2 linked regions of the Anolis sagrei genome follow. The protein of the gene in region 1 purifies or fractionates together with the protein of each later gene. This does not show direct contact. Links are inferred from orthologs where the notes say so. Each region holds a gene or a part of one and is shown on either strand. Other genes may lie near its edges.

Evidence for each region.
Region 2: the proteins of COP1 (region 1) and ETV5 purify together in Homo sapiens (affinity purification with mass spectrometry; 6 studies listed by BioGRID and IntAct, counting the BioPlex papers as one, with this or other methods). This does not show direct contact. The link is inferred for Anolis sagrei from reciprocal best matches to the Homo sapiens genes COP1 and ETV5.

What each region holds. Positions count from the first base shown.
Region 1 is NC_090024.1:128,579,067-128,586,327, forward strand, and holds the start of COP1 (E3 ubiquitin-protein ligase COP1), read left to right. Parts: upstream 1-4,259; 5' UTR 4,260-4,357; coding exon 4,358-4,722; intron 4,723-7,261. UniProt on the Homo sapiens protein: E3 ubiquitin-protein ligase that mediates ubiquitination and subsequent proteasomal degradation of target proteins.
Region 2 is NC_090023.1:222,984,397-222,991,509, reverse strand, and holds the start of ETV5 (ETS translocation variant 5), read left to right. Parts: upstream 1-4,109; 5' UTR 4,110-4,214; intron 4,215-7,113. UniProt on the Homo sapiens protein: Binds to DNA sequences containing the consensus nucleotide core sequence 5'-GGAA.-3'.

The DNA of each region.
Region 1 (7,261 bases):
AGCCTGCCACTTTTGGACTCTCGCTTGCTGAGGTGTTCCAGCGAGTGTCTCTGTAGATCTTAGAAAACTATTTCTAGATTTAAGTCGTTAAACGTCTGTCTGATTCCACAGCAAGCTGGCTTCAGGAAAGGCAAAAGCTTCACATTGCAAGTGTTGAACCTGACTCAGCACAGAGAAGATGGCTTTGAAAGGCAGCAGATCACAGGAGCTGTCTTCATAAATCTGTCAGCAGCCTATGATACTGTGAACCACCGCCTCCTCCTGAGAAAAATGTATAATATCATAAAGGACTACCACCTCACGCGCCTCATAGGAAACCTGCTACAAAACAGGAGCTTTTTTTGTTGAGTTCCAGAGCCAGAGAAGCAGATGGCGGAAACAGAAGAACGGCCTACCTTAGGGGAGCATGCTGGCCCCATCCATGTTCAACATTTACACAAATGACCAGCCACTGTCAGAAGTGACAGAGAGTTTCATCTATGCTGATGATTGTGCCATTACCACTCAAACAGGGAGCTTTGAGATGGTTGAACAGAAGCTCTCTGAAGCTCTAGGTGCTCTTACTGCCTATTACAGGAAAAATCAACTGATCCCTAATCTATCTAAAACACAGACATGTGCCTTTCACCTTAAGAAGAGACAATTATCCCGAGCTCTGAGGATCACCTGGGAAGGAATCCCACTGGAGCATTGCAGCACACCCAAATACCTGGAAGTCACTTTGGATCGTGCTCTGACCTACAAGAAGCACTGCCTGAACATCAAGCAAAAAGTGGGTGCTAGAAACAATATCATAGAAAGCTGACTGGCACAACCTGGGGATCACAACCAGACACAGTGAAGACATCCGCCCTTGTGCTGTGCTACTCTGCTGCTGAGTACGCATGCCCAGTGTGGAACACATCTCACCACACTAAAACAGTGGATGTGGCTCTTAATGAGTCATGCCGCATTATCATGGGGCGTCTGCGCTCTACATCACTGGAGAAATTACACTCCTTAGCCACTGTTGCACCACTTGACATCCGCCGGGAAGTAGCAGCCAATAGTGAAAGGACCAAGGCATTGCAGCAGGTAACATCTCCAACTCATCCCGTTTGGGTATCAGCCAGCACGTCAACGACTTAAATCAAGAAATAGTTTTCTAAGATATACAGAGACACTCGCTGGAACACCTCAGCAAGCGAGAGTTCAAAAGTGGCAGGCTCAAACCCAGCACCTCAATCCGTGGGTGATACCAGATGAGAGACTCCCTCCTGGGCACACCAAAGACTGGGCTACTTGGAAAGCGCTGAACAGACTGCGCTCTGGCACCACGAGATGCAGAGCCAACCTCAAGAAATGGGGCTACAAAGTGGAATCCATGACATGCGAGTGCAGAGAAAAGCAAACCACTGACCACCTGCTGCAATGCACCCTGAGCCCTGCCACATGCACAATGGAGGACCTTCAGGAAAGGCAACACCAGAGGCACTCCAAGTGGCCAGATACTGGTCAAAGGACATTTAATCAACTACCAAGTTTACAATTTTTTTCCTTTTTTAATGTTTGTTTGTTTGGTTCTGTTACAAATGTAATACAATGGTATGGCTGCTGATGACACGATAAATAAATAAATAACAACTGAACGAATGAACAACAACAACACAGTAAGCAATATAAAATGGAAGCTTTGGAAGCTTTAAAAGAGAGGCTGGATGGCCATCTGTCGGGGGTGCTTCTAAGGGCATATGCCGTGGCAATAAAGGCGGCAAAGAAATCTTTCTTTGCGGCCAATATTGCGTCCGCAAAGAACCGTCCGGCGGAGCTGTTTTGAGTTGTCAGAGGTCTATTAAACCACACCACTCCGGAGGGGAACCCTGACAACTCAACGGCCCGCTGTGAAGCATTTGCTCAGTTCTTTGCGGACAAAGTCGCTTTGATCCGTTCTGGCCTGGATACCATGTTAACGGCAGTCTCTGAGGATGTAACACGAGCACCTGCTTGTCCGATTTTGATGGATTCATTTCAATTGGTGAAACCCGAGGATGTGGACAAGATACTTGGAGGAATGAGAGCAAACACAGGCATCCTAGACCCCTGCCCATCCTGGCTCGTGAAGGAAGCCAGAGGGGGATTGGCCGAGTGGGTGGAAGTGGTGGTTAATGCCTCCCTTCGGGAAGGCAAAATTCCAGCCAGCTTAAAACAAACTGTAATAAAACCGCTGTTGAAAAAACCATCACTGGACCCCACTCAATTTGTCAACTATCATCCTGTTTCCAATCTCCCCTTTTTGGGCAAAGTCCTGGAACGTGTGGTGGCCTCACAACTTCAGGTATTCTTGGTAGACACGGATTATCTGGATCCGGCACAGTCTGGCTTTAGGCCGGGGCATGGTACCAAGACAGCCTTGGTCGCCTTAGTGGATGATCTCCGCCGGGAGCTAGACAGGGGGAATGTGTCCCTGTTGGTCCTGTTGGATCTCTCAGCGGCCTTCGATACCGTCGACCACGGTATCCTTCTGGGACGCCTCGCGGGAATGGGCCTTGGTGGCACTGTTTTGCAGTGGCTCAGGTCCTTCCTAGAGGATCGTACCCAGAAGGTGTTGATGGGGGACAACTGCTCGTCCTCACAACCATTGTCTTGTGGGGCCCCGCAGGGTTCAATACTGTCCCCCATGTTGTTTAACATCTACATGAAGCCGTTGGGAGAGATCATCCGGAGTTTCGGGGTGCGGTGTTATCTGTACGCAGATGATGTCCAACTCTGTCACTCCTTTCCACCTACTACTAAGGAGGCTGTTCAGGTCCTGAACCGGTGCTTGGCCGCTGTGTCGGACTGGATGAGGGCTAACAAATTGAAATTGAATCCAGAGAAGACAGAGGCACTCCTGGTCAGTCGCAAGGCCGAACAGGGTATAGGGTTACAGCCTGTGTTGGACGGGGTCACACTCCCCCTGAAGACACAGGTTCACAGCTTGGGTGTGATCCTGGATTCATCACTGAGTCTGGAACCCCAGGTCTCGGCGGTGACCAGGGGAGCATTTGCACAATTAAAACTTGTGCGCCAGCTGAGCCCGTACCTTGGGAAGTCTGACTTGGCCACGGTAGTCCACGCTCTGGTTACATCCTGTATAGATTACTGCAACGCGCTCTATGTGGGGCTGCCCTTGAAGACTTCCCGGAAGCTTCAGATGGTCCAGCGCTCGGCAGCCAGGTTGTTAACAGGAGCGGCACTCAGGGAGCATACCACTCCTCTGTTGAGCCAGCTCCACTGGCTGCCAATCCGCTACCGGGCACAATTCAGGTGCTGGCGTTAGCCTACAAAGCCCTAAACGGTTCCGGCCCCACTTACCTCTCCGAACGCATCTCCACCTATGAACCGACGTGGACGTTAAGATCAGGCACGGCTGGCGGGGACGAAGGACAGGGCCTTCTCGGTGGTGGCCCTTCGGCTATGGAATGCCCTACCTGTAGACATCAGACAGGCCCCTTCGCTGCTGGCGTTTCGGAAGAAGGTTAAGACTTGGCTCTACGAGCAAGCGTTTGGCTAAACGGTGCAACTGAACACAGGAAGACGGTAAAATTGAACATAGGAATGGCACAAGGATTATGAGAATGGATTTTGCTCTGTTATCGAGGCGTTATGAATTGATAATAATTGTTGATTTTGTTGCTGTGTATGATGTGTTTTAACTGTTTATTGTTGTGATAACCTGCATTGTGTAAACCGCATTGAGTCGCCTAATTTAGGCTGAAAAATGCGGTATAGAAATAAAGCAAATAAATAAATAAATAAATGCGATTTTCCTCCTTCTTGGCAGGGGGTTGGACTGGATAGCTCACGAGGTCTCTTCCAATTCTGTGATTCTATGAAATGCCAGCGTCCCCTAATTTTGGAATGACTTTTGAACCATTTTCAGCCCTAAAACACAAGCCTTCCTCCACGCGCTGACCAAATGTGATAGGCCGCTGTGGTTGCTAGGCTACCGCTGTCCAGCCCTCTTGCGCAGGCGCGTTGACCTTTGCCTGCTCCGTTACGACGTGACGACCCAAAAAAACAAAAACAACTTCGACGCGTTGAAGACGCTATGGAGGTTGCGCACGCGCAGTGCCGGCCCCTGAATCAAGTTCCGACGAGAAGGGAGGGTGTTGGGAGCCTCCGCCCCGCCCCTTTGGTTTGAGGGCGGGCGCAGGGGCCAATCAGGTGCCACGCACGCGCTCCCTGGCAGGCGTAGGGGCCAATCAGGTGCTGCGCACGCGCTCCCAAGCAGGCGCCCGTCCTCCTCCTCCTTCCTTCTCCTCCTCTGAGAGGAAGCCTTGGTGCGGCCCGCTCCCCTCTCGGAGCGTCGGGGGAGATGCGCTGAGCCGGAGCCGGGATGTCGGGGAGCCGGCAGCCGCCTCAGCACTCCGCGGCCGGGCCTCCTCCCCCGGGGTCCTCCTCCACGTCCTCCCCTTCGGTCACCACCTCGGCCTCTTCGGGCACTGCTTCGGCGGCTTCGGGCGCCTCGTCCTCTTCCGCCTCAGTGGGGCTGGGGGCCCCTGCGCGGCCTGTCTTGGTGGCGGCCGCTGCCTCGGGCTCTTCCTCCAGCAGTGCAGGCCTGGCTCGCCTGGCGGGGGGAGGCCGGGCTGGGAGCAGCGGCCCAGGCAGCGCCAACAGCAGCAGCAGGAAGAGGCCACTGCTGACGCCGCTCTGCAATGGCCTCCTGAACTCCTACGAAGACAAAAGCAACGACTTCGTGTGGTGAGCGAGGGGCGCCCAGATGGGGAAGGAGCGGGGGAGGGGGAGAAGGCTAGCCATTGCTTACCTGCCTCCTCTTCAGTTGCTACAGCGAGTCTTGGCCTTACATACACCCATCTTGCAGGTCACTCCTATGCGCCCCATCTTTGGTCCTTTAGCTCCCAGAATTCCTCAAGGTTTAATCTATCTATATATATAAATACTAGCTGTCCCCTGCCACGCGTTGCTGTGGCCCAGTCTGGTGATCTGGAAATGAAGTAATGAGAATGTGTTGGTTTCTAATATATGTGATTTCTTAATGTTTCTGAGTAAACAGTATTTCTTGCTGTTTCTTTGCCAGTGTTGATGTGGAGATTGTCTGGTTTGCCTACTCTGGAACATGTAACATATCATTGTCCTTTTTTCGGGGTTCCCTTTGAAATCTTTGGTACTGCATCTGTCATATGTGTGTGTGTGTGTGAATGGCTGGATGGCCCTTTGTCAGGAGGGCTTTGTTTTATTTACTTTATTTATTTACTTTGCTTATATATCGCTGTTCTCAGCCTGGGGGCGACTCACAGCGGTGTACAACATAGAAAGAACAAAATTCAACAATTCAAGACATAATATAAAATTCACATCCAGCATTAAACAAAAACATCATCATCAAAAACATCATCATCAAAAACATCAACATTACTACAAAAGCCATTCCGTGTCGTCTCATCGTCAAACCCACAATCTGGTATCATTTCCGTTGTTCCATTCCTATGGTCAAATTACCAATCACTTCTTGTTCAAATGCCTTCTTAAATAGCCAGGTCTTTAATTTCCTGCGGAATATCAACAGGGAGGGAGCTAGCCTGATGTCCACGGGAAGAGCGTTCCACAGCCGAGGCGCCACCACCGAGAAGGCCCTATCTCTCGTCCCCGCCAGCCGTGCCTGTTAAGCAGGCGGGATCGAGAGCAGAGCCTCCCCGGAAGATCTCAAAGTCCTCGTGGGCTCATAGGCCGAGAGGCGGTCAGTTAGGTATCTTGGGCCGGAACCGTTTAGGGCTTTATAGGCCAATGCCAGCAATTTGTATTGAGCCCGGTAGCAGATCGGCAGCCAGTGGAGCTGGTACAGTAGGGGGGGTTGTATGCTCCCTGCGTCCCGCTCCTGTTAGTATCATGGCTGCCGCCCGTTGGACCAGTTGGAGCTTCCTTGTTGTTTCTTTGCCAGTGGAGATTGTCTGGTTTGCTTTAGGGGTCCCTTTCAAATCTTTGATATACATCTGTCATATACACACATATATATATGTGTGTGTGTGAATGGCTGGATGGCGCTTTGTCAGGAGGGCTTTGTTTTGTTGCCCTGGTGAAGGGAGCTGGACTGGATGGCCTTAAGGCAGCATTTCTCAACCTGGGAAGTCAATACACCAAGGGGGGGGGGTCACCAGGGGGGTGTCAGAAGGGTCACCAAAGACCACCAGGAAACACAGTATTTCCTTTTGGTCATGGGGGTTTTGTGTGGGATGTTTGTCCCAATTCCATCGTTGGTGAGGTTTGGAATGCTCCTTGATTGTAGGTGAACTATAAATCCCAGTAACTACAACTTCCAAATGTCAAGGTCTATTTCCCCCAAACGCCATCTGTGTTTATATTTGGGCATATTGAATATTCATGCCAAATTTGGTCCAGATCCATCATTGTTTGAGTCCACAGTGCTCTCTGGATATATGTGAACTATAACTCCCAAACTCAAGGTCAATGCCCTCCAAACCTTTCCAGTATTTTCTGTTGGTCATGGGAGTTCTGTGTGCCAAGTTTGGTTCAAGTCCATCGTTGGTGGAGTTCAGAATGCTCTTTGATTGTAGGTCAACTATAAATCCCAGCAACTACAACTCCCAAATGACAAAACCATAATGTTTTGATTGATGGTCACTCCTTGTGTAGAGAGACATTTTGTTGCCAAATTTGGTGTGATTTTGCCCATTAGTTCTTTTGTTTTTAAGGTACTCATGCACAGAGCATATATAGATAGATAGATAGATAGATAGATAAATGTAATGTTTGTTTGTGGGGTTAACATAACTCAAAAACCACTGGACAAATTGATACCAATTTTAGACACAACACACCTTTCAGGCCAACAAGTGACCATCACTCCTAAAAACACTGAAATATACAGCAGAAGAGACTTAAAAAGCAAAAATATAAAATAAAATAATGCTACAACGCACATGCAAAACAACATACACATATGATGGTAATCTATAAAATAAAAATGTAATGTTCCTTTGTGGGATTGACATAACTCAAAGACAACTGGGCGAATTGACACCAAATTTGGACACAATATGCCCATCAGGCCAACGAGTGACCATCACTCAAAAACATTGATTTTGTCATTTGGGAGTTGTAGTTGCTGGGATTTATAGTTCGCCTACAATCAAAGAGCATTCTGAACTCTATCAACAATGGAATTGAGCCAAACTTTGCACACAGAACTCCCATGACTAACAAAAATACTGGAAGGGTTTGGTGGGCATTGACCTTGAGTTTTGGAGTTGTAGTTCACCTA
Region 2 (7,113 bases), on another chromosome or scaffold:
CTATGAACTGGAAATGCCTTGAAGGCACACAACTACAACATCAACATGAAAGACACAACTCCATCCAAACCTTCACATATGGACTGAAAAGACCAAAGGGGGCTATTTTCAGGAAGATCACATTGTAGAGTTAAGCAATTGTGACCTTCTTAATGCTCTTGTATTTCAAAACCTATCATCCTTGGCCATTGGCCATGTTCAGTACTTCTGATGGGAGCTGAATAACAATAGGAAAATTACTGTTGCCCATCCCTTCAAGCAATAATCCATACAAACAGATTCATGAACTGAACTAAGGCTGTAATGAAAAAAGAGTTTGCCCCAGGTGAAGCCTAGATTGCCAAACCGACACATGCATCATGAAGGTCAGCTTGACTGCATCAGACAGGTATAGTATCTGACAGGTGTGGTGAGATAGGACACATCTGTGAGGTGCTGTGTTCATCTAGAAGAGATGATGCAGTTGCTTCACCAAGTGCCACATGTGAGCTAAGTCACTACCGAGCAATCACTATCCTATAACTGCAGTTCAACCCAAATTTGCACAATCCTCAGGTGCATCACACCCATTTGGTCTTCAGATAGTAATCAGTAAATGTAAAATAGTTGTAGGTAGGCAGTACTTTCAGAAAGTGATATGCCCTGAGCGTGGCAGTGAAGTAAGTGTGGGCTGACCTCAGGCTTGCATAAACATGGTAATGTATTTTAATTTCAACTATAGAAGAAATTATAAAAGAAGTTATACTTCTGCAGTTTCCTGATATGCCTTGAATTCATAAAGCAGGAGTGAGTACTGTACTCAGGATCTCTTCTAAAAAGGCCTATTAATATTAAATTGCTATGGAGGATCAGGTCTATGGCCTAGAAAAGGCGATGCTATGGTTGATATAAACAAAAGCATCTTCCAGCCATGGAATCATAGAAACATAAAGTTGGAAGAGACCGTATGGGCCATCTAGTCCAACCCCCTGCCAAGAAGCAGGAAAATCACATTCAAAGTATTCCCAACAGGTGGCCATCCAACCTCTGTTTAAAAGCTTCCAAAGAAGGAGCCTCCACCACACTCCGGGGCAGAGAGTTCCACTACTGAACAGCTCTCACAAATGGAACAATCAGGTAGTTGGTTCCAATATTAACCCCTGATAACCTTAAACCACTTTGTCCTGACCAAGACTAAGATTTCATTTACAAGTAAAATAACTACTACTTACGACACATTTTATTTTCCTATTGCACACAATATGCCCAGCTACACCTTGGAATAATGTCTATATTTAATAATATGGTAATGGTGTCTTTTGGATTTTGTGTTCCTCATTTTCTCAACTGTTTAATAAAAAAAATGTTCTTCACTAAAGTCTATGGCCCATGCATTAAAAAAAACTGTTTCTTGCTGCACAATTTCTTTCCCTGTTGTATACAAGCTACACCTTGGAAAAACATATCCTGAGCAAAGAGAGTGACTCTCAAGGTAAAGGTTTCCCCTGACATTAAGTCTAATTATGTCTGACTCTGGTGAATGGTGCTCATCTCCATTTCTAAGCCGAAGAGCCTGTGTTGTCCATAGACGCCTCTAAAGTCATGTGGCCAGCATGACTTGCATGGAGCGCCATTACCTTCCCGCAGAAGCAGTACCTATTGATCTACTCACAATTGCATGTTTTCAAACTGCTAGGTTGGCAGAAGCTGCGCCTAACAGTGGGAGTTCACCCACTCCCCTGGATTCAAACCACCAACCTTCTGATCAGCAAGCTTAGCGGTTTGACCCGCTGCACCACAGGAGAGTGGGGAAAGCTTGCAGTTCAAGTGGGAGTTGACACCAGGTATTATTTTCCTAAGTTATGTAGGTTGGTGTCAAACTTCATTATTTCTACAGTGTAGATCAGGCTTGGGAAAATTTCAACTCAGCTTAAGTGGCTGAGGGGAGAAAGCAAAGGGCCTGAGGCTGTTAGGAATTGTGGGCGTTGAAGTCCAAAACACAAGGAGGGCCGAAGTTTGCCTAAGCCTGGCGTAGATGCCCGCCTAAAAATGAAACACTCTTGAAATATTCCCCATGTTGATTCTTCTCCTGAGGAGGTTATACCAGCGTTTTAAATATATTTGTACTCATCCATAAAGATGAAAGGAAGGTTTCAATTGTTTTAATACCCGAATAAATCAATGCAAAGAGTGTAGGGGAGTGGCTTTCTTTTATTTTTGTATTGTAATTGCCATTCTAACCTGCTGAAAAGAAACTGGAGGAAACCCTCCTGATCTAATGCATCCTAAGTTCAGAAATACTGTAAATTCCCCAGTGTTGCACAAGCATTGCTGTCTTCCAGATGCAAGTTTAATCCTACAGACTTCAAGGAGACTGAAACAAGTTAATAGAAGGAGCAGGGCATCTATTTAAGAGTGGCAAACTATGGGGCAAATAGTGTAGAATTAATGCAGTTTGGTACCACCTTTGGTACCACCTTAATAGACACACACACACACGCACACACACGATATCTATATAAATAAAAATGTAATGTTCGTTTGTGGGATTAACAGAACTCAAAAACCGCTGGATGAATTGACACCAAATTTGGGCACAAGACACCTAACAACCCAATGTATGTCCTTCACTAAAAAAAAAAATTGATTTTGTCATTTGGGAATTGTAGTTGCTGAGATTTATAGTTCACCTACAATCAAAGAGCATTCTGAACTCCATCAACGATGGAACTGAACCGAACTTGGCACACAGTTCTCCCATGACCAACAGAAAGTCCTGGAAGGGTTTTGTGGGCAGTGTCCTTTGCTTTTGGAGTTGTAGTTCATCTACATCCAGAGATCACTGTGGACTCAAACAATGATGGATCTGGACCAAACTCTACACGAATACTCAATATGCCCAAATGTGAACACTGGTAGAGTTTGGGGAAAATAGAATCTTGACATTTGGGAGTTGTAGTTGCTGGGATTTATAGTTCACCTACAATCACAGAGCATTCTGAACCCCACCAATGATAGAATTGGGCCAAACCTCCCACACAGAACCCCCATGACTAACACAGCAACGCGTGGCAGGGGACAGCTAGTATATATATACACACACACTATATACACACACGCATATATATTTATATATCTGTGTGTGTGTGTGATGTTTGTTTGTGAGATTAACATAACTCAAAAACCACTGGACTAATTGACACCAAATTTGGACACAACACACGTATCAGGCCATAAAAACACTGAAAAACAGAGCAGAAGAGACTTAAAAAGCCAAAAAAAACCCCAAAAATACATTACAACACATGTGCAAAACCACATATATACACAAAACACATATATACACAAAAACACAAACATATACGCACATATATACACACACAAAACACATATGCACAGACTGGGCCACAACAACGCGTGGCAGGGGACGGCTAGTATATATATATAGAGAGAGAGAGAGAGAGCCATAGTTAAGATAAACAAAATAGGGAGTGAGTGGCCTTTTGTGGCAATCTCTGCCAAATTTCCGAATATGATATTGCAACAGGGAAAGTGCCCCAAACACACACACACACACAATAATTCAAGGCAGGGCAAACTCTGGTCATAGCCAGATCAGAACAATTCGTAGCCTAGTTGGCAAAGAGAAATTGTGCGTGGTCCCTTTAAGTCTCTCTTTGCTTCTGCCTCATCCCCAGGACGCTATAGAGCTCTCTTTCTTTTATGAATGAAAACGCTCCTCGAAGCAGTATGTAAATCACGGCTTTATAGCCCCTTCCTTATAGCTTGCAACAAAAAAAGGGTGCGCTGTGCCTTTAAATCTCTCCTCGCTTCTGCCTCACCCTCGGAACGCGATATATATCTCCTCTCTCTTTTTTTTATGAATGAAAACGCTCCTCGAAACAGTATGTAAATCAGAGCCGCCTTGATTGGCTGCCTCTCCCCCGAGGGGAGGGTGAAACCCCCTTCCACACTCCATCGTTGCCAGGAGGCGGGATTAGAACGCCGCTCTGGGCAACGGCGACCATTCATAAACTGGGAGGCGGCCTCACCTCCGAGCTTCATTGGCGGCCCGGTAGGGTAAACAAGCTGGGATTGACAACCGCTGGCAGGGCTGCGGGCCAATGGCGGGCGGGCGCGAAGGCGGGCTCTGGAGGCCGCTCGGGGGCTCCGGCTGCAAACCCGGCGGAGACACGGGGCTTCGAGCGGCAGCGAGGCGGTTCTCTATGGGGCAGGTGAGAGCCCTCCAAAGAGAGCCCTATTCGCACGGAGGAGGGGAGGGAAGGGCTTTCGAGGGGAAGGCGGGGGTGCAGGTGCTAATATTGGGGTGCAAGCTTCGCTAGAGCGGGGCCTGGAAGGAGGCGAAGTCTTGGGGGGCTGGAGCCCGGAGGGATTTGGTGGAGGAGCCCAAGGCACTGGCTCTGCGCGGTGGAAGCGACGCTGTGGGTTGTTTTTTCCCCTTGGCTGGATGTGGGCGCTTTTTATGAATGGAGCTGGCTCTTTTTTTTCTGTGAATGGAGCCTGGAGGGCGGGGGCGGCGTTCTGGAGAGGGGTGGCGTTTCGTGAATGGAGCGAGCTGGAAAGTGCGCCGCTGGAGGGGGGGAGAAGGAGAGCTCTCTCTAGGCATACATGGTGAAGGGGGACCTTGCGCCGGGATCGGGTTACACTCTACCTGCTCCTCCACCTCGGCCATTCATAAAAGTTAGGCCAGATTCGCGAATGGGGGAGAAGAAGAAATAGGGCTTTGGGGCTTTTTTCCTCGCGTTGAGTCCCAGGAATGCAGCCTTGCTTTGTAAAAAAAAATAGTGTCTTGCCGTCGTGACTTTAAAATCTTGGAGATGGATGAGGTTATTAAAAGAGTCTCGAAAAGGTCTTGAGCAGTTGGCAGGGACCTCTTCATCGTCTTATTATCATTACTCTTATTTCATATTATTTTTATATTAATATATTATATTATAATATTATAATATATATTATTATATTATATATTTTATTTAATAAATATTATATTATATATCATATTATTTTATATTATAATATTTTATAAACATATTTATATTATAATGTAATAGAATATATTATATATTTTCATTTAATAAATATTATTATATTATATATCATATTATTATTTTATAATATAATATTTTATAAATATATTTATATTATAATACAATAGGTCTTGAGCAGTTGGCAGGGACCTCTTCTTCGTCTTATTATCATCACTCTTATTTCATATTATTTTTATATTAATATATTATAATACAATAGGTCTTGAGCAGTTGGCAAGGACCTCTTCTTCGTCTTATTATCATCACTCTTATTCCATATCATTTTTATATTAATATATTATAGATATTATATTATATTATATATCATATTATTTTATATTATAATATTATTTTATAAATATATTTATATTATAATACAATAGGTCTTGAGCAGTTGGCAAGGACCTCTTCTTCGTCTTATTATCATCACTCTTATTCCATATCATTTTTATATTAATATATTATAGATATTATATTATATTATATATCATATTATTTTATATTATAATATTATTTTATAAATATATTTATATTATAATACAATAGGTCTTGAGCAGTTGGCAAGGACCTCTTCTTCGTCTTATTATCATCACTCTTATTCCATATCATTTTTATATTAATATATTATAGATATTATATTATATTATATATCATATTATTTTATATTATAATATTATTTTATAAATATATTTATAATGTAATAGAATATATTATATATTTTCATTTAATAAATATTATTATATTATATATTATATTATATATCATATTATTATTTTATATTATAATATAATATTTTATAAATATATTTATAATAGAATAGAATATATTATATTATATATTTTCATTTAATTGTAATTTTATTATATTATATATTATTAAATTATTATTTTATATTATTATTTCTTTTCTTAAAGGAGACTTTGAAAAAAATAATCTTTATTAGCATACATAAGTATAAGAATAGGAAATATATATATAATGTAAAATAAAAGGAGAGAACAACAAAACAACAGAAAAGAGGAGGAAAAGAGAGAAAAAAGTGAGGTAATAAGTGTAATGTGAAAAGTCTAAAAAGGAAAATAAAGTAGTGAAAGTAAAAAATAGAAAGATTTATTATATGTTTTTATAGAATATTAAATATCAATATTTAATATTTATATATTATGTTATATTATATATTATTTTATCTTATTATTATTATATCCTATCTTAAAGGAGCTTGCAACAGTTGATCCAGTGGGACAGTGAAATTTTCCCAAAGTTTATGAATCCACACATTTTCCCCAAAGTATTATTATTATCATATTTATATCCTACTTCCCTCCCTTAAAGGAGATTTTAAAGCATTGCTGGCAACAGTTAGTCTCGTGAGACAGTCAGATTCAGTACCTCCTCTCTCCCAAAGGTTATGAAATGACTCATTTTCCTCAAATTATTATTATTATATCCCAATTTTCAGGAGATTTTTTAATTGTCATTTGCAACAATTAGTCTGGTGAGATAGTCAGATTTATAATCAGTGCCTCCTCTCCCCCAAATGGCTTGTTTTCCTCAAATAATAATAATAATAATAATAATAATAATTATCAGTGCCTCCTTCCCCCAAATGGCTTGTTTTCCTCAAATTATTATTATTATTACTATTATTACTATTATTATCAGTTCCTCCTTTCCCCCAAATGGCTTGTCCTCCTCAAAATATTATTATTATTATTATTATTATTATTATCAGTTCCTCCTTTCCCCCAAATGGCTTGTTTTCCTCAAATTATTATTATTATTACTACTATTATTATCAGTTCCTCCTTTCCCCCAAATGGCATGTTTTCCTCAAATTATTATTATTATTACTACTATTATTATCAGTTCCTCCTTTCCCCCAAATGGCATGTTTTCCTCAAATTATTATTATTATTACTACGATTATTATCAGTTCCTCCTTTCCCCCAAATGGCTTGTCCTCCTCAAAATGTTATTATTATTATTATCATCATCATCATCAGTGCCTCCTTTCCCCCAAATGGCTTGTTCTCCTCAAATTATTATTATCATCATCATCAGTGCCTCCTCTCCCCCAAATGCCTTG